3 linked regions of the Danio rerio genome follow. The protein of the gene in region 2 binds, or shares a complex with, the protein of the main gene of each other region. Links are inferred from orthologs where the notes say so. Each region holds a gene or a part of one and is shown on either strand. Other genes may lie near its edges. The genes, in order: rnaseh2c, rnaseh2a and rnaseh2b.

Region 1 (6,264 bases), on a different chromosome or scaffold from region 2:
CGTCATGCTCTACTTCACAAGGTAACAGGTGGATCTGTGGTTTGTCAGCTTGTTTGATGGAATCACGTCGGATGGATGTCACACAACTATTTGCCGTCATCTAGTAAAACAAACTTGTTATTAGGATTTCAAGTATTTTATGCGAGAGTGATACCAGGCAGTCCACATGTGGCTTTGTGCACTTATGAACATGTTTTGTTGTTATAATGGTTCAAGTTAATTGAAGTAAAGTTGGTTTTATAGACCATTTTGAGGCATGTAAACAAAAACAATGGTCCTGTTTCCTGCTTTACATTTTTAATTTCTATAGCTTCGAGAATCCAAAAAGAGCCACATATTGATAATGTCATGATAGCTGTTTTACATTAAGGTATGATTGAATTGCCTCTTGTTACAGTGATGAAATAGTCTGAAAACCAGCAGGAAATATTCATGAGCCAATGACATCACTACATTGAAATGGTCAATACACATCAGGGCTAAACAATAAGGACTGCCCGGTGGCCCAGGGCCGCCGTGAGAGACACTTGGGACAGTAGACCGGATCATTAATGGCCCGATTGGGACAGTGCTGCCTTGTCACTAATATTTAATTTGTCTGTGACTATTTGTCAATTGCATGCATTTTAAGTTTGTGCTTTTAAATCTTTAAATGCTACCTTCTCTGTAATGTCGTAAACAACATATTGCTTTCCGATTCGTCTTATCGGATTGATTTGACCATGCTATTTTTTTTTTGTAACCTGGTAACAACCAATACAGCGTAGAAACAGCAACATAGCGGCAACATCAAATTAAAAGGCTAAACGAAAATGTCTGTCTCTAACGTGTTGGAAGTAGACATTTACATGGAAACAACACGACAAAATAATAATGAAGTGATGTTATGCATAGTTTGCCATCACTTTGACATGTCAGCCACCTTTTTTTTTTTAATAATTTCAAACTGCAATAAAATGCCTCCACATTTTCCATACTGCTCTTTTTGTTTGCATAACACTTATATTTACAATTGTTTTTTAAGTATTGAAATTCTAGATTTACAGACTTTATTTTTGACACATTGTTTAAAATATGTGGTTAAAAATAGCTATTAACTTCCCTTTTTTTTGGTGGGGCCAGTGGAAATTTTGGCAGGGCAAGTAAAAATCTAAACCACTTGCCCGATCAGACCAGTAGAAAAAATCCTTAGCGTTGAACCCTGCACATTCTGACTTTCTCCTTAATAATTTCAGAAAATTAGCCTTTGCAATTTATAAATAGTGAAATTATATTAGCAGCCCACGATCAAAGTACAACATCAGTCCATAAAATAGTGCTAATGTTGTTTTGTAGTTGCACTTACATGAGATTTTAAACTGAATATTCAAAGTCTCATGGTAAACAAAATAGGGACCGTGTCAGAAGTTGACATTGAACCAATGTGCGGAAATAAAACCTACTTTACCTCAATTTCAAGTTTCAATATATGTGCTATAAATTGATATACACATTTGTTGTATTTTGGCTTTGACATTAGTGCTTAATGTACACAAAAGCCTATGCAAAGCTGTTCAATGGCAGATTGCATTTTAACAATGTCCCAAGACTAACAAAATCCAAACCTTTTCTCTAAATGTTTTACTGAGAGCAGTCTAAAATAAGACACGAAGGCCAGGTGAACAATCATTAAGTATTAAAATAAATATATACAGTTTAGTTATTGAAAGCTATTATAAAGTTAAACTTAAAGAGTGATACTGTGTTTCAAACAATAAAATCTACTCTGAAAAAGCTACTTATATCAACAACAAGAATGTTAAAAGTGTAATATATTATGGCAACAGAAGTTTTTCATCTAGAACAAATGCGGTGATATATACATTTTAGGGCTCTGTAATTAATCAAACGGCAATCGAAATCAACATTCAGAATCTATAATGGATCAAATTCTTGATCCATGTCAATTTTTTTAATTACTTTTCTTACCACATGTGGAGTTTCGTGACCACGCTCTGTTAAGGCTGATTTATACTACTGTGTCGAGTACACAGGTATGGTCTGGCGCAGCCTTCGTGCAGTCGAATACCTGCGCACCTTTAAAAAATGTAACTGCACGTTTGCACTACATTGACAATGATTGGAAGCTTTGCCAGATTTGCCCTGAGATGGCTTATTCTCCTTTACAATAAAATTATTATTTACATTAAAAAATTTGTTTACAAAAGATTGAAGAATAGTGCTGTTTAAACTGTTATTCGCGACATATTCCAGTTATTTGATTTAGAAGAGATGCTGCTAAATTTCTACTTTAATATGAAAAACATTTTAAATCATTTATTTTGTTTCTAAAAGTTATTTATTGCAGACGCGGTGGTGCAGTAGGTAGTGCTGTCGCCTCGCAGCAAGAAGGTTGCTGGTTCGAGCCTCGTTTGGGTCAGTTGGCATTTCTGTGTGCTAAAATTGTATGGGTGTTTCTCAGTGATGTTTTGCAGCTGGAAGGGCATCCGCTGCGTAAAACATATGCTGGATATGTTGGCTGTTTATTCCGCTGTGGTGACCCCAGAATAATAAAGGGACTAAGCCGAAAAGAAAATGAAAGAATAAATTAAGTTATTTACTTACACTTTTATAGGAAAAAGTGACTCTTGGTTTTATGCAATGTATGTTTTCAATTTCAGTTGTTCAGCGATGATGTTCACCTTTCATTCAAAACTCTCTTATTTGTAATATGTGAGCATATTTACTGTACATACCTTGTCGGTGAACTGAGGGCATTACATTTTAATTAATAATTAACCTGTCATTTTTTTAACACCTTTTTTCCAGCTTTTCTTTTTTTTGCTTGTTTTATTATACAACAAAATCACGTTCTTTAACAAGAATTAAACGAGTAAAGACATTAAATTACAATAAAGGAACCAAGGAGAGGGTACGTAATAATAAAATTACATACAATCATTTCTCCAATTGTAGTTATTAACAGGAGTTATTAAATGCACTTCTACAACAGAAAATACATGTATACAAACATTATTTTTATACTTATAAATCACTTTTCCACACATATTAATGTCTTTTTTCTAGCAGAGAAGAGAGGCTGCTTCTGGCACAATTGGATTTGTGTATGTGAAACTTACAAAGTAAGTTCATTATAAAGCCATCATTTTTTATAGGGTGACCTTGACCATAATTATCCAAAACCACGTGTTTATAAGATAAGAAAAATTTTCAAAAGATATTTTGAGCAATAAAACCTTCAACATTAATACAAAGCAGCGATATCTTACCATGCTCGTCGTTTTAACACTGTTTATAAGTGTCACATGGGTCAGCTGCGTTTACTTTGATTGGACGCGATGCATTTCTTCGTCAACACGTTGTTCCTTTTCGCGGTAAAATCCATGGCCTTCTGCCACCTACCGTTTCGTAGTAGGTGTAGAGTTGATAATGACAGTGGTTTTTCATAAATATTATTAACCGGACGTTTATAAAAACAAAGAGCGACATATACACAAGCAATGATGTAATAACGTGGTAAATATTTGTTCGCAGCTCATTGTTTACAGGCGCCCTGCAAGTGCAACAGTCATTATAGTCCCACTAGGAACTGGGAAGGACTAGGAACTACATTTCTCTATGGCGAACGTGTTTTGGTCATGCCTTCACTATTCGATAGCATCTATAATGTTAGTTCAGTTAGATAAGTGATTGCACTATCTGTAGGGAAAATGGATGTAGTTCCGTGTTTAAAAGTGCCGCAGCGTCACGCACAAATGTACAGGTAGGCAGACAGCAAACTGTTGTTTTGCGTTGCATGTTTATGTAAGCAACATGTTAGTATCATGTTCTTGCGTTATAATATTCAACTTATATTTGAAATAAACTTGATATGTGTTATTTTTCTGTAAGCCTCTTTATGTCGATATTTAAAAGGTAATATTGATATTTGAAATTCTGAAGAGACAATATCAGTAGTTTATGGGACACCACCAGTCCCTGAAAATAAAAACATAAATATACAGTGAATAAAAAGTATTTCATCCCACAAAATTACTAGAATGGCCTGATGGTGGATTTCTTTGAGTTGTTCTGTAAAGGAATATGTCATTCATTAGGTTCTCAGATTTGTTTTCTTTACAGTACAGCTGTAATAGTTCTGTTATGATTAAAACTGTTATTTAGAAATAGGATATAGCACGTTTAAGTTGTTTTCATTCACATTGATTAATTAAAAACATGATATTATGAAAAAATTCTACAAATAAACATTATTAATGACGTTCTGTCATTGAATTGTATGATGTTTTTGTATGATTTTTTGAAGACGACAAGCTTATATCCGGCCCTGTCACCTTTTTTATTGTGAAAACTTACCTTTTTAAGTGAAAATATAAATTTCTGGTAGAATGTCCTTCATAAAGTAAAACAAAAATGAAAACTTACTCAAAACGCACACCTTTTAATGGAAAATCCAAAAAAAAAAAAAACTAACTTTCTTCCTGTGCTCTATATATTTTTACAATTGTCTGTGTTTATTTTAACAGCTTATTGTTGTATTAATGTGTTTACTGCTTTTCAGAAAATACTTAGAGTCACAAGGTGTTCTGGACCGTAGGTACGGTGCAGAGAAACACTCCGATGGCACTGTAACTCTTCCGGTTGTAGCATCTGCTTTGCCACAGCTTGATCTGGTGGCACTAAAGGAACATGTCGCACAGGACAGCTTTTGTGAAATTGTTGATATCCAGGTAAACATAAACTGATGTTTGCACCCAAATCACTGAACGTCTGAACTGCAAAATAAAATATATTCATTTTTTTAGGCTCAATTGTCAAAGAAGAGCAAAGTTAAGTCAGTCCATATGAAGCTTGTAGAGGCTGCACGGTCCTTTCTGCTTTCTAAAGGGAAAGAATGGAGTGAAGATCTAGGGAGAGACATTCCTGGCCGATGGCAGTGTCATGGAGATCTTGTGCTGTTTACTGAAGGCTGCTTCTCCAATGCAGTATGGAAAGAAATTGGTGTGTGATATTAAATCCCAAACCCACTATAGTTTCAGCGTTGTGTTCATATCCTCTGCACATATACATTTGTAATTATGTTCATATCCATCTGCATACCTTTGATTATTAATAGCAGCCTGTGCATATATTCATCTATTGTAAATCTCTGTTCATAGTTAATATAACCTTGATGTAATATTCATAGTACATTCATCTGTTAATAGCACCATAGTTTTTCTGTGCACTTTATTCCTATATCCTGCACTTGCTGCTATTGCACTCCTGGTTAGACCTAAACTGCATGTGTAATGACAATAAAGTTTAATCTAATCTAATATATAATAATAGTAATAATCTATGTCCTCTGTTAAAATTGATCTACTATGTCTGATTGCATGCACAATATATTTTGTTTGTTTTAGGGTCTGAATTCTGGACTGCAGTTGCGCTGACGCTCGGAGTTAAACGTATTGCACAAATTAAAAAGATTTCCCAGGATGGTTATCGAACACCTATAGTGACGATGCTTTTAGGTGACAGCAGCCATGTAACACACATTGATAACCACATTAGGTATCTAATATTTTGTCTTGTTATTTAAAATATGCATCTCAACATATATTAACCCTTATAAAAAAATTTTTGTAAGAGAAAAAAAAGCATAATTTTTAGGCATAATTAACTACAATTATTTTTCATTCATTCACATTTTCCCCCTGTTTTTAATGTTTTGTGTTGGATCATTTTGGAACAGGGCGTATGTCAAGTATCTATAGATGTCCGAAAATATTTGTGCAAAATTATCTATTAAGCATTAGTGATCTCAAAAGTAACTTCCCCATATCTCACACACTTCTGGGATTGAATTTTGTTAAAACAAAACATTAATACTGTATACTGTATATGCCTTTTGACAAACATTTGAAGCCATGAACACATTTTTATGTGAAAGAGATTCTTTATGCAAGTAAAAATTGAAGTTGAAAAAAAATAGAAATGTAAAGTATCTATAAATAATATTAGAAAATTAGAAAATATTTATTATTGATCTCTAAAGTAACTTTGCCAAATCTCACACACTTTTAAGAGTGAATTTATATTTTGAAAAACGTGAATACTGTGTCCATCAACAATGCCTTCTGACAAACATTTGAAATCGTGAACACATCACTTTTTTATCTGAAAGGTATTCTTAATGCAAGTAAAATTGTTTATTTTGTTTAAAATCAGGCAAAAATGTTGTTTGTCTTGAATCAGTAATTTCAAATGTGTTGTTAATGG
Region 2 (6,253 bases):
TTCTTTGTACTTTTATTTTTCTGTTATCCATTTTAATTTTAAGCCTGTGTACAGTCAGTTCTGTTCTTATTTCTCATTGAACATAATTAAGCTCATCTAACTAAAAACATTAAAAAATAAGTAACTTCTCACGCCGTAAACACAAAGTATCCCTGAATAATGCATGCAATAGCCTTGCAGCAGACCACACACTGCAGGTCACATGACGCAGTCAGTTGTTCTGAACAATGGGCTACTAAGAAACTAATTCAAGAAGGGCTTCAGAGCGGTCTTTCACCCAAATCACCGACTAAAGACAGTACTAATGTGCATTTATCCATTTCTAAGCTTAAAATAAAGACTTTAACAGCGTTTTATGTGGTGAACTCATCCCAGAGGTCGCCTAAACGCTTACTTGTGGCCCTGCACTCTCTGATAACGCCTGACATTTCAGTATCTCTGCTAAAATCATATCAGACCCCAGCAAATGCACCAATGTGTCAACGACCCTCAGACTTTGCCCTGGAAATTATCAGTAAAAGACAAAAGGAAAAGGCCGAGACAAGTGTGCTAATGTAGGGCTTTACTATAAAAGTCTCGTTCAGCAATTATAATATCAAGTTTCTGGAAATGTGAGAGGAGAAGCAATGCATATGAAGAATGCATGATGCTTTTAGATATCAAAATGAGTAATATACACAATATCTGCGTTTAGCCTCGCGAGCTAAAGCAAGTTCAAGTGGGATGATGTTACATAAAAGTAGCATAATGCGAATCATATAACGTATACTACTTAAAGTGAACGCATGCATGATATATAATAATAATAATATATGCATTAATATATTTCACTCCGTTATCAAGTGTAACTTAAATCCAACATATAAAAATGACGCCGGCGTTTCACACGCGCTCTTTTGTTCTGTAGTACTCAACAAAACTACTCATTAAGCATTTGTACATTTATATAAACGTTCAAAATGTGCAGATTAAAGTTAATATATCCGTATTTAAAACCTACCTGTTCTGTGTGGACGAGAAAGTTCTCTTTGCCTTGATGCACGCGCACAGGAAGTGGCAACCGCGCGACCTGCTCTAAAACCAGCGAGCAGCGGCTCTACGTAAGAAGAGGGGGGAGCGACGTGGTTCACGGCACCGCCCACTTTTTGGCTTAATTATTTTTTTCAAAAATAATTTTTTCTGCTCCTTACTTTGTAAAATATTAAACTAATAAAATACAAAGACATTTATTTTAGTATGTATATAATTTGTAAACAAAAAGGCTTTGAAGCTTTGAAAACCTTAAACCTAATATAAAAAAAATAATAATTATTATATTTTTAAATAAATTAAATGATCAAAATTCATTATTATTATTAGTATTGTAATTTATTTGTAATTGTGCTTTGCACTTTTATTTTCCTATATTTATTGTAAGCCTATGAAGGACGAAACCTGCAAAAACAATAAAAAATAAATAATAAATAGGGCGTCACAGTCAATTAAATTAATTAATTAATTAATCCACGAATTCATGCATGAATTAAACAATAAATAAATATGCATATATATATATATATATATATATATATATATATATATATATATATATATATATATATATATATATATATATATATATATATATATATTTGCGTATTTATTTGTTTATTGTTTTATTTATGCAGGGATTTGTGTATTTTTTTAGTCATTTAATTATTTATTTGCGTATTTATTTATTTATTGTTTCGTTTATACAGGTATTTGTGTATTTATTTATTCATATATTTATTTATTTGTGTATTTATTTATTGTTTCATTTATGCAGGATTTTGTGTATTTGCTTATTCATTTTTTTATTAATTTGCATATTTATTTATTTATAAGTTGTTTATTTATGCAGGAATTTGTGTATTCGTTCATTTATTTGCATGTTTCTTCATTCATTGTTTTTGTAGGTTTCGTCCTCCATAATTTCAAAGCAGGATTAAAATATATTTAAAAATTCACCACATTTTGCTTATAAATATATATTTGGTATGTTGTTTTTTGTTCTTGTCCATGGTGAAGTATAGTTCATTTATTATTTTTTTTTTAGTCAAGCTTCACCTCCACAACATAAACTAATAGCACAAAAATCAACCGAATTCTGCTTTTCAACACATACATACATACATACATACATACATACATACATACATACATACATACATACATACATACATACATACATACATACATATACGAAGTCGACAAAATAAAAAATATTTGAACTCCATTTCCCACAAGCCCTTGCGACGTTGAGTTGAGGAGGCATACAGTTAAACGCGTTCACTTCATGATTTTGAACATTACACGATTTTTGTGTGTGTGTTACAGAATGTCTTGCATTTATCAATGAATTAACAAATACGTTCGTTTCTTTTTAATATTGTCGGTCAAAGGTCACGCTGTACCGTCAGACTCGCGCCAATTCTGTAGTTCCGGTTGAAGCGCGCTGCACACACATTCAGGTTCGTCCAACTTGTTTATGCTTCTGTTTACAATCACTTTTACGATTAAGCTAATTGTTCTAGAATGTATTTGTGTACACTTCAAGTTAGCATTTAAGAGTAAAACCGCATGTACTCACTACTCATTGTTCGCACAATATTTGTATTATTTATGTATATAACGTTGTTCCAGAGATGGGTTGCAGCTGGACGGGCATCAGCTACGTTAAACATATACAAGATACGTTGGCGGTTCATTCCGCTGTGGTAACCCCAGATTAATAAAACGATCCAAGCCGAAAAGAAAATAAATGAATGAATGAATGAATGAATGTATATAACGTTATCTCTCAGTAATCAGATCATATATTGTTAACAGTCATCTATGATGTACTGTACTGTTTTATATTGTGTTTTAAATGAACGATATAAGTTCTAGATAAGTTTAAATGCTTAGAGAGTTTCTCTGTCAAACACTAGGTTACTTCATTCATTATAACTTTAGGATTTATACAAGTTCAAGAAAATAAATAATGGAAATACGACACGTAAGTTTAATGGTTAGCTTTAAGTTTATTTTAGCACTTTATTGAACCTCCTTCAAAATATTGTTCATATTTTATAATTTTAGAATATTGCTTTAATTTTCTTTCCTTTAAATATTATTTAAATAGCACTCTAAAAGGTGCCTTTCAAGATAAGCTTCATTGATTTTCTTCAACTTGGTCCCTTTATTCATCAAGGGTCACCACAGCGGAATAAACCGCCAACTTATCCAGCAGAATTATTAGCACCTTCCTTTTTAAGAAATGTCCCAAATTATGTTTAACAGAGCAAGGAAATTTTCACAGTATGTCTGATATTATTTTTTTCTTCTGGAGAAAGTCTTATTTGTTTTATTTCGGCTAGAATAAAAGCAGTTTTTAAAAAAAAAATTAAGTTCAAAATTATTAGCCTTCCTAAGCTATATTTTTTCGATAGTCTACAGAACAAACCATCGTTATACAATACCTTGCCTAATTACCCTAACCTGCCTAGTTAACCTAATTAACCTAGTTAAGCCTTTAAATGTCACTTTAAGCTGCATAGAAATGTCTTGAAAAATATCAAGTCAAATATTATTTACTTTTTGTCATCATCATGGCAAAGATAAAATAAATCAGTTAATAGAGATGAGTTATTAAAACTATTATGTTTAGAAATGTGTTAAAGAAATCTTTTCTCCGTTAAACAGAAATTAAGGAAAAAAATAAACAGGAGGGCTAATAATTCTGTCTTCAACTGTATATACTGATCTAACATGTTTTAAAATGATATTCACTGTTTTATTAGTGATGGATCTGAGTGATTTTGAGGCGGACAACTCTGTGAGCTGCCGCTTGTCTTCATCTATCCCAGACTTGTGTAAGACAGAGGACTGCTGCCTGGGCATCGATGAGGCGGGCAGGGGACCCGTATTAGGTGAGAGTCATCTTCACTGGAAAAAAGCTCATATCCGATTGAAACTGGAGTGTGCATTAAATATGTTACTATTTTCCAGGACCCATGGTGTACGGCATATGCTTCTGCCCTGTATCCAGAAAAGAAGACCTAAAGAATTTAAAAGTGGCAGGTTGGTCTGAATTATTCAGCATGTTTTGTTACAGGGTGACATGGTGGCTCAGTGGTTAGCACCGTTACCTCACAGCAAGAAGGTCGCTGGTTTGAGTACCAGCTGTGCCAGTTGGCATTTCTGTGTGGAGTTTCCAAGTTCTCCCCGTGTTGGCGTAGGTTTCCTCCAGGAGCCTCCACAGTCCAAAGTCATGCGCTATAGGTGAATAGGGTAAACTAAATTTGCTTAAGTGTATGAGTGTGTGTGTGTGAATGAGTGTGCATGGGTGTTTTCCAGTACTGGGTTACAGCTGAAAGGGCATCCACTGTGTGAAACATATGCCGGAATAGTTGGTGATTCATTCCGCTGTGGCGACCCCTGATGAATAAAGAGACTAAGCCAAAGGAAAATGAATGAATGGATATTTTGTTAGAGAGCATGTGTGTAAATCTTCAGTATATTTGTTGTCTATTTAGACTCAAAGACGCTGACGGAGGCTGAGCGAGAGAACCTGTTTGTGAAGCTCGATGAGGCCAAAAGTTTCGTAGGCTGGGCCCTTCAGATCCTCTCGCCCAACATGATTTCCACCAGCATGCTACAAAGGTACCAGCATGCTAGATTTCAGTGAAGAGAAGGCTAGTGTGATGTTATGTCAGATTAAATCAGCACAAAACAAACATTTTTGGTGTACAAAACTGCTTGTCAAAGCATAGTTTCCACAACATTTCGCTCTGGTTGGTAAACTCCTTCAAACTACGACTAGTAAAGCAGGTTTTCAGTCCACTTGAAATCAAAATTTACTTTATTTACTAGCTCACATTGTTATTCCTAAAGTCTGCATGAATTGGAAGCTGCGGCTGTCTTTTTTTTCATATAGTGATGCAGTTCCTACAGAAACGGAATAATAAATGAGACAACAGTGGGCGTGGCTTGTTTTCTTTTTCTACTCATGGCTAATTGGATGTCTTAAAGTAGGCATTTCATTCAGAAAGAAAAGGAAAAGGGTTTTGGGAGAGTTATTACAGCCTAACAAACTCCTCCTGCTCACCATTTCTGTTTGTTGTCAAATCTGACAGCTGGAGGGGCGTGGTTAAGTATGTTAGTCAGGCCCAATACCTCAGACAGACTTAATGTGAGAATTCAACTGAAAACAAACAGGAAGTGCATTTTTAGATTTCAATTTTAGAAACAAACGCAAATAATTTTATTTTCTTATTGCTATGCACTGATAAATTGTTCAACACAGAACTAGCAATGCGAGTTAACAAAATCAACATGGTTAGTTTTGATGTGTACGTTAAGGTGAATAGATAATCTGTGCAAGTTAAGCCACTGAAAAAAATGATAAAATTCAATGCTGATTTGCTTTCGCTTTTGAGTGGCGGTTCTTCTGTTGACATCAACCTGGGGGCTCCCATAGCAACTGTACATGAATACCCTCTAATACGATATATAATGGTAATAATCAAAGAAATCCACATATGCAACGAAAACTAAACTAATTAGTTTACAAATTAAGTTAAGTGTAATAAAATGAAAGGACGCAGAGGAAAAGTATTGAACACACGAAGAAAGGAAGGTGTTGAAAAGCATGGAAAGCCCAGACAGCTGCTGAAATCTCTTTTTTTTCTCTAGTTTATTAGCAACCATCGTCAGTGTAAATGAATATTCGCTGCTTCAGTCCAACATCTACATTAGCAGATGATGAAGATGAAACCAGGGTGGACATTTCAGCAAAACAATGATCCAAAACACAGCCAAGGAGACTCGCAAATGCTTTCAGAGAAAGAAAATAAAACTGTGGAATGGCCTAGCCAATCACCTGACTTGAATCCAATAGAGAATACAAAATAAAGATCAAAATTAATAGACGAGACCCACAGAACCATCAATATTTTTATACTCTGTTGAAGTCTGTGAAAAACTCATGCCTGAGCAATTCATGTGACTTCATTCTCCATATGAGAGGCGTCTTTAAGCTGCCATCACCAACAAAAGCCTTTTATATAAAGTGTTAAATACGTTTTAATAGTTCAGTAATTTCTCCTTGTGTCATTCCATTGTTATTACACAAAATATTTCAGATTTTTTTTTTGTCTGTTTCTTTTTATGTTAACATTGTTCTGGTTTTTATCGTAATCTGGTTCAATTCCATGTCAAAAGCTCCTTTAGAAATGTTATTTCCAGGAAA
Region 3 (6,457 bases), on a different chromosome or scaffold from region 2:
CCACACTAAACAACACTACCAAGCAGACCGATCACAGAGCCTGCGCTATATGTCATCGTGACGTGTAGTTACATATTTCTGAGAGGTCCCCATCAGTCATGTGAGTGGTGTGCGATCACGTGAAGGCTGCGCTTGACGTAGAAGTGTAAACAGAGCTGGGTCACGTGACTACACACATGGTAGGAAAAGTAATTGAAAAATTTACCAATTATAGGCTGTAAATGTCAATTACTTTTCGATTAATCGCCCAGCCCTGGGGTGAAGTTATAGTACTATGCAGGTCGGTGGCTACAGGCTTCCAACATTCTTCAAAATATCTTATTTTGTGTTCAACAGCAGAAACAAGTGATGCACAATATATCGTTTCAGCATCGATATCGCAATGTGATCATTCGCAATAGTCACATAGTGAGTATGTGCAATGTTGAGTCTGGATTATAACTGATTATTTCATGTGTTTTCGAGTCCTTTGACTGTATGAGAATTTTAAATGCATTCAGGCATAAGTAATTGTTGGAAATCTCAAATAAATAATGTGATATTAATGTCAGTAAAAACTGTAGCAATAGTGTATGAAGCAAGATTTATCCTGGATAATAAATAAATGTATGTATTATAATTGTATGTAAATATAATGTAATTGTATTGTAACACACTTATGTTGCCATATGAGTTATTGTATTTAATATACATCTAATTTACGATTCTTTTTCTGCATTGTACAAAAGGAATTAGACTGATCAAAAATGTGGGGTATTTGTAGCATAAAAATCCTTTTTTTTTTTTTATTAAAGATACTTAAGTTCAATGATTTGGTTAAAGTTAAAACAGCACAATTTCTGTTTAAAGCTAGGAATAAATTACTTCCGAAATGCATACAAAAGTTTTCTGAATTAAGACAAGGGGGATATAATCTGAGAGAAGAACAACATTTTAAGAGGTTGAAAACAAGGACAACCTTTAAAAGAATGGTGTATGTGTGTATGTGGTGTGAAATTATGGAACAGTCTGGAACAGATTCTCAAACAATGTCAGGATAATAATCAATTCGAAAAGTTGTATAAATATATATTATTAAAGGAAGATTATGATGAATAGAGGTGATTGAAAAAGAAAAAAATAGAAAGGTATGATGCTATTTCAATTCATGGCTGTTTGCAACACTTTGTATTTTTGAGTGTATGTTACAAAATGTGAATGTACAAATGAAATTAAACAATTATCATGTCAAAGATGCCAAAAGGATAAAATATGTTTCATTTAAAGCTCATATGTCTCATGTAAAAAGAAGAGATAAGTAAAAGAAGAAACAAGATGAAGTAATAGACGAATGACGTGTGTGGTAATGGGGTGGGAAAATAATAAGCTTGTGCTTCATCCTGCTCCATTTTGACCATGTTGAAATGTGTTTTTGTTTAAAGAATTGTTTTATGTATGATTTTTCTGTTCTAAATAAATAAATCAAATTACCATTTGTAACTTTGACAAATTAACAACAATACATTTTATTGAATTGTTTAAAACGAAGACTATGCAGTATTATTTTACAATTTATTATTCAATTACTTTATACCTGAATACAGTTCGACTCATCAGAAAACAATAAAACTGGCTATTTTTTTCATTTGTTTCTTTTTTATTGAGTTTATTTAAACTTGTAGATTGTTTATTATACATTATGTACTCCCCAACAGAATCTAAAATTATAAATTATTTCCAAATAGCTATTCAAGTCATCTCATGAAATTGTATTCATATCGCAATGTACAGTTGAAGTCAGAATTATTACCCCCCACTGAATTTTTTTTTTTTTTTCAAATATTTCTCAAATGATGTTTAACAGAGCAAGGGGGTTGTCACAGTATGTCTGATAATATTTTTTCTTCTGGAGAAAGTCTTATTTGTTTTATTTAGGCTAAAATAAAAGCAGTTTTTTTTTAAACACTATTTTAAGGTCAACATTATTAGCCCCTTTAAGCAATTTTTTTCGATAGTCTACAGCAGTGGTTCTCAAAGTGGTGGTCGGGACCCCTTGAGGGGTCGCGGGACAATGAAAAGGGGTCGCTTAGTGATTTCCAAAACTCAAATACATTTGAGTAAACTATTAGAATTACCATATTTTATTCATAACCCACAGAAGATAGTTAATAGTTATGTTAAAGACACAACAACAACAACATACAAACAAAAATCAGCCATCAGCCTTTAATTTTTTTATGTTTGAATTAAATTAATGAATGACTACAAAAAACATTATACGGTTATTAGACTGTTGCATTTGTATGTTGTCAATATGCTCATGTTTTTTATGCCTATAGTTGTGTATTTTTAAAGTATAACCACCTTGAAAAATGGGGGTACCAAATCACTGACATCATTATTTTGGGGGTCGCGGGTTGTAAAGTTTGGGAACCCCTGGTCTACAGAACAAACCATAGTTATACATTAACTTGCCTAATTACCCTAACCTGCCTTGTTAACCTAAAAATGTTAATTTAAACTGTTTAGAAGTGTCTTGAAAAATATCTATCTTTTGTCATCATGGCAAAAAAATCAGTTAAAAATCTGTTATTAGAGATGAGTTATTAAAACTATTATGTTTGGAAATGCGTTAAAAAAATCTCTCCATTTAACAGAAATTGGGGAAAAAATAAACAGTGAGCCAATAATTCTAACTTTTACTGTATATCACAGAACAAAAAAATATTACAATGTAAAATATTTCCAATATCATGCAGTCCTACTATCAGAAACTGAAACAGGTTTGAAATAGATTGTGAATAAATTATGACAGAATTTTTATTTTTGTGTGAACTATCCTATTAATGGACGATTCACTCTCTGTAGTGTGAGCTTACCTCTTTGCACTGTCTGTCCAATAAACCAAGACCGGAAGTCTTCAGAAAAAGCTTTTACTTCATAAACACTCAAATCTCCACAGCCAAACAGGTACAGCGAAGAACTACCTGAACTCAGACAACGACAGAACTGTCAGTTAGTTAAGGTTCATATAGCTGATCCACGTCATCTCTAAACCATCAGTTGCAGTAAATGAGTGCACTGAGTCAAAAGGCCACCTGTAGAAGGATTCTTCAGTTTGATGAAGGAAGGATCACTGTCGACAGACCTGCCAGTGTCTAGTGCTGAATCTGAAAAAAAGGGAAGTCACAGAAGGAAAATATAAGTGGATTAATAAAATTCATAACTAAACTTAATGTAGATGTTGGTGGTTAAAGGGATAGTTTACTCAAAATAAATGAAAATTTTGTTGTCATTTACTTATCGAAAAAACTAATTCTGAAAACAAAAACATATTTTGAAGAATGTGGCCAAAACAAAAGGTTGCAGTTACATGGTATAATTAAAATACCATGGGGGTCAATGGAGACCAGAAGTTGTTCGATTGAGCACATTTTCAAAATATCTTATGCTAAGTAGAGGAGAGAAATTCTCAGAAAATTAAAAGGTAGTAAATGGTAACGTAATAACGTTATACATACACTATATGCACTACTACTAATAATTACTATTAGAGTGATTTCTGAAGGACCCGAAGACTGGAGTAATGAAGCTGAAAATTAATCTTTAAAATCACTGGAATAAATTATTAATTTAAATGATAAACTGTTTTTGCACAGTTATTTTATAGTGCATTAACATTACACAATTTTTACTGTATTCAACAAATGCAGTCTTGGTAAGCAGGAAAAGCTCATTTTTTAAACATTTAAAATATTGAATGTAACTAACGGTTAAACATAGAGCATAAAGATAAATACATTTTCATAACGAGTCCTCAGTGTATTAGGATGTGAACTGAAGACTGTTTATAACATCAGTAACGTTATATAAGTTTAGTATACAATGCATGTAGGGACATGTGTGAACATGCAACAGCAACACAGAGTAACTAACGTTAAACGTAGCAAATGTTAGATACCTGGAGCAATGACAACCCAACTGTCGCTCTCGGTGTGTGCAGACCGTTTCTTTTTAGAAGTCATTTCAAATAACTAGTTTTAAAAGTTAAACTGTAAAAACAAGTTGTCCGCTGTGTATAAATGCGACGAGTGAATGTTGTGCCTTCAGAAAAATGGCGGCAAATCTTTGAGTTACACATAAGCAGGGGTAAGTACTCGACTTCAAGTTTTATTCTAGGGTTTGTTTAGGTAGTGCTGCACAATATTATACATTCCTTAATAATATATTGCGAATAAATCAGATGTTATGTTTTTTAAGAACGGGAGTGGAGAATGGCACCTCTAAAGAAATATCGAGTGCACCGTGTTCACCCTTCTCTCCAAATGGTACGGTCTCTCAGTATTCCTTAAAGACATAGCGGGTCATTAAAAGCACCAGGCAGCCTTCAGGTCTTCCATTTTAATCAACTGATTCTTCTTTTTTGTGTTAAATTATTATTGTTAAAGAGTGTTGTTCTTGTTACCATTTAAACCATTAAAAGGTAAGGTGTTGAGTTTAGTGTACAGTATTTCAGTATCAGTACTGAAAATGAACGACCTAATCTAATGTAAAACAACACTGTATAGACTTCACTGTATAAATAAAATTTCTACATTTATAGCTATTTATAGCATGGATTTATAGATTAGTGAAGTTATAAAAGCTATTCAGACCTGATTGGTGAGTACCCTAATTTTATTGCATTGACAGGCCTATTATGATACAAATCAAACTCACAGCAGGTTCATTAGGCTGCAGTTATCTACGTGCATAAATATGTCTGTGGACTTCTTCATGTATTTATTTATATGACAAATAGTTTATAGTACATTTTTCTTTGTGGCCTATTTTTGTTGTCTGGGGGAATTGTGCAACACCACCAGCTACAAATATTTAAAAAAGAATCGTTTGTGATAAACTTCTACCCAAACATAAAAAACAAGATGCAAAGCTGTTCTCTTTTGTTGTGATATAGCCTACTGTAAACATTTACATGACACATTTATTATACAGCTTAAATAACTAATGTGTGTATTATTGGTACACACATAGCCTACATGTGCACTGAGAGGGAAGACACACAATATTAGGAAGGATGTTTAAAAAAACTCAGAGACAAGTCTTGAGGTGTCTGCTTAGTTCCAGCACTTCAAGCGGCCCCAGGATCTTGTCAGGTTTTGCCAGTGGTGCATAGGGTACAGGTGTCTCTTGCACAGTATGATAATATTTATTTACAAAGCATTTTATTCACATTGTCAGGTTGTGATCCATCAGCAGTATTAATCTAAAATCTGGATTAAATCAAAGTTTATCTAAGAATTATGTTGCCTAAATATGAGGCATGTGGTTTACAATTATACCAAATGTTTGATCCTGGACTTTATTTCACAATAAACCTGGATTAACTAGGCTACAATCTTATTGTTTCATCACTTAGGTTTAGATTTAAGTTAAGGATCAACTTTAAATTTGCAATTGATAAGGTTTAAACAGCCTAAATGCTATTCTATTTCTGGTGAAAAAAATTAAAGTTTCTCACAGATAAACAAGGGACTATCCCAACATTTTAGTTCTCTTCCTTGACCAAATGTGTTTTTAACAATCAATTCAGTTATTAATTAATACAATATAATATATATTTAGACCATATAATCTGAGACAGAGATATATTGTACTCCTAGATTAGATCTGAAAATACCCCAAAACTCATATAGAACTAAATATTATAGAAAATTGATGTTCCTGTCAATTACCTCAAGATGGCGCCAGTATCTTGGAAATGGACGAAGAGACGCCCTCAGACAGAATAGTTTTTACTTTCACCTTATATAGCGCTGCTTATTAAGTCTTACCTCATCACTATATTACACTTCTTAATATTCTTCAAATACATAACGCTTCTCATCTCGGTCACTAAAAGGCTTAATTTGTTCGACTGTGAGTGTACACGAGTATCAAACAACCTGCAGGAAATAGGCAAGAAAAAGTAAGAGTAAGATAAAGTAGCCTACATGTAGACCAGATGCTACTGAAAATAGTCGGAATAGAAACATTGTTTACATAAGGTCAATAAATTAGTGTAAGCATTTCAGCATACTTGTGAACTGTTGACACTTTATTGTTGCTTACACAGATTCAGTTTTCGTTTTCTTTATTTTCAGGATCTTATTAATAACTGTTGTCAATCTGTCTGCTGTTGGCTAGAATGTGACCCATCTTAACATTTAATGACTCCCTTTGTCTTCAACTCTCACTTCATCTCTCATTGTGGGAAAATACGTCTTTTAGCACTTTTGTCACTCATTAAAATAACTAAGCAGGACATGCACTGACACATTCTATGCGTGGGCATTCAAGTGTTGCTGATTAAGAACCAGGGTCCCCTGTTCTGCCATAAGTCTGAGGTATTCAGGTCAACCAAGGTCTGCTGAGCAAGGACATGCTGGAGGTGGAGGAGGGGCTCTAGGACATCCCAGCTGGAGAAATAAACCATCAC

The links.
Region 1: the proteins of rnaseh2a (region 2) and rnaseh2c are in contact, whole or in part, in a crystal structure (PDB 3PUF), measured with the Homo sapiens proteins. The link is inferred for Danio rerio from reciprocal best matches to the Homo sapiens genes RNASEH2A and RNASEH2C. Residues at the interface, in NP_006388.2 of Homo sapiens: Thr11, Asn99, Ser102, Thr103, Leu106, Gly107, Arg108, Val109, Val196, Glu197, Lys198, Leu199, Glu225, Pro226, Val227, Phe228, Gly229, Phe230, Pro231, Gln232, Phe236, Leu245, Ala249, Glu250, Asp251, Val252, Ile253, Trp254, Glu255, Asp256; in NP_115569.2 of Homo sapiens: Pro33, Cys34, Glu35, Val36, Ala37, Val38, Ala42, Pro43, Val44, Gly45, Arg46, Phe47, Phe48, Pro50, Ala51, Arg53, Ser62, Phe63, Arg64, Gly65, Arg66, Cys67, Leu68, Leu134, Glu135, Thr136, Lys143, Gly146, Ala147, Thr149.
Region 3: the proteins of rnaseh2a (region 2) and rnaseh2b are in contact, whole or in part, in a crystal structure (PDB 3PUF), measured with the Homo sapiens proteins. The link is inferred for Danio rerio from reciprocal best matches to the Homo sapiens genes RNASEH2A and RNASEH2B. Residues at the interface, in NP_006388.2 of Homo sapiens: Val227, Phe228, Ile253, Trp254, Glu255, Ser284, His285, Tyr287, Phe288, Arg291, Gly292, Leu293, Glu294, Ser295, Ala296, Thr297, Ser298, Leu299; in NP_078846.2 of Homo sapiens: His16, Phe18, Lys39, Asn42, Gly48, Ala49, Ile50, Val63, Lys64, Val65, Phe66, Lys67, His70, Phe74, Val79, His86, Phe87, Val183, Tyr211, Gly214, Leu215, Asp218, Tyr219.

Annotation. Positions count from the first base shown.
Region 1 is NC_133189.1:40,010,783-40,017,046, forward strand, and holds the start of rnaseh2c (ribonuclease H2 subunit C), read right to left. Parts: upstream 3,560-6,264; 5' UTR 3,273-3,559; coding exon 3,270-3,272; intron 101-3,269; coding exon 1-100.
Region 2 is NC_133176.1:55,039,762-55,046,014, reverse strand, and holds the start of rnaseh2a (ribonuclease H2 subunit A), read left to right. Parts: upstream 1-2,447; 5' UTR 2,448-2,492; intron 2,493-3,803; 5' UTR 3,804-3,805; coding exon of another isoform or gene 3,806-3,932; intron 3,933-4,011; coding exon of another isoform or gene 4,012-4,083; 5' UTR 4,084-4,110; intron 4,111-4,372; 5' UTR 4,373-4,538; coding exon of another isoform or gene 4,539-4,639; coding exon 4,640-4,665; intron 4,666-4,848; exon of another isoform or gene 4,849-5,206; intron 5,207-5,679; exon of another isoform or gene 5,680-6,253. UniProt on the Homo sapiens protein: Catalytic subunit of RNase HII, an endonuclease that specifically degrades the RNA of RNA:DNA hybrids. Participates in DNA replication, possibly by mediating the removal of lagging-strand Okazaki fragment RNA primers during DNA replication.
Region 3 is NC_133184.1:31,342,591-31,349,047, reverse strand, and holds the start of rnaseh2b (ribonuclease H2 subunit B), read right to left. Parts: upstream 4,066-6,457; 5' UTR 3,941-4,065; intron 3,150-3,940; 5' UTR 3,078-3,149; intron 2,967-3,077; 5' UTR 2,859-2,966; intron 1-2,858. UniProt on the Homo sapiens protein: Non catalytic subunit of RNase H2, an endonuclease that specifically degrades the RNA of RNA:DNA hybrids. Participates in DNA replication, possibly by mediating the removal of lagging-strand Okazaki fragment RNA primers during DNA replication.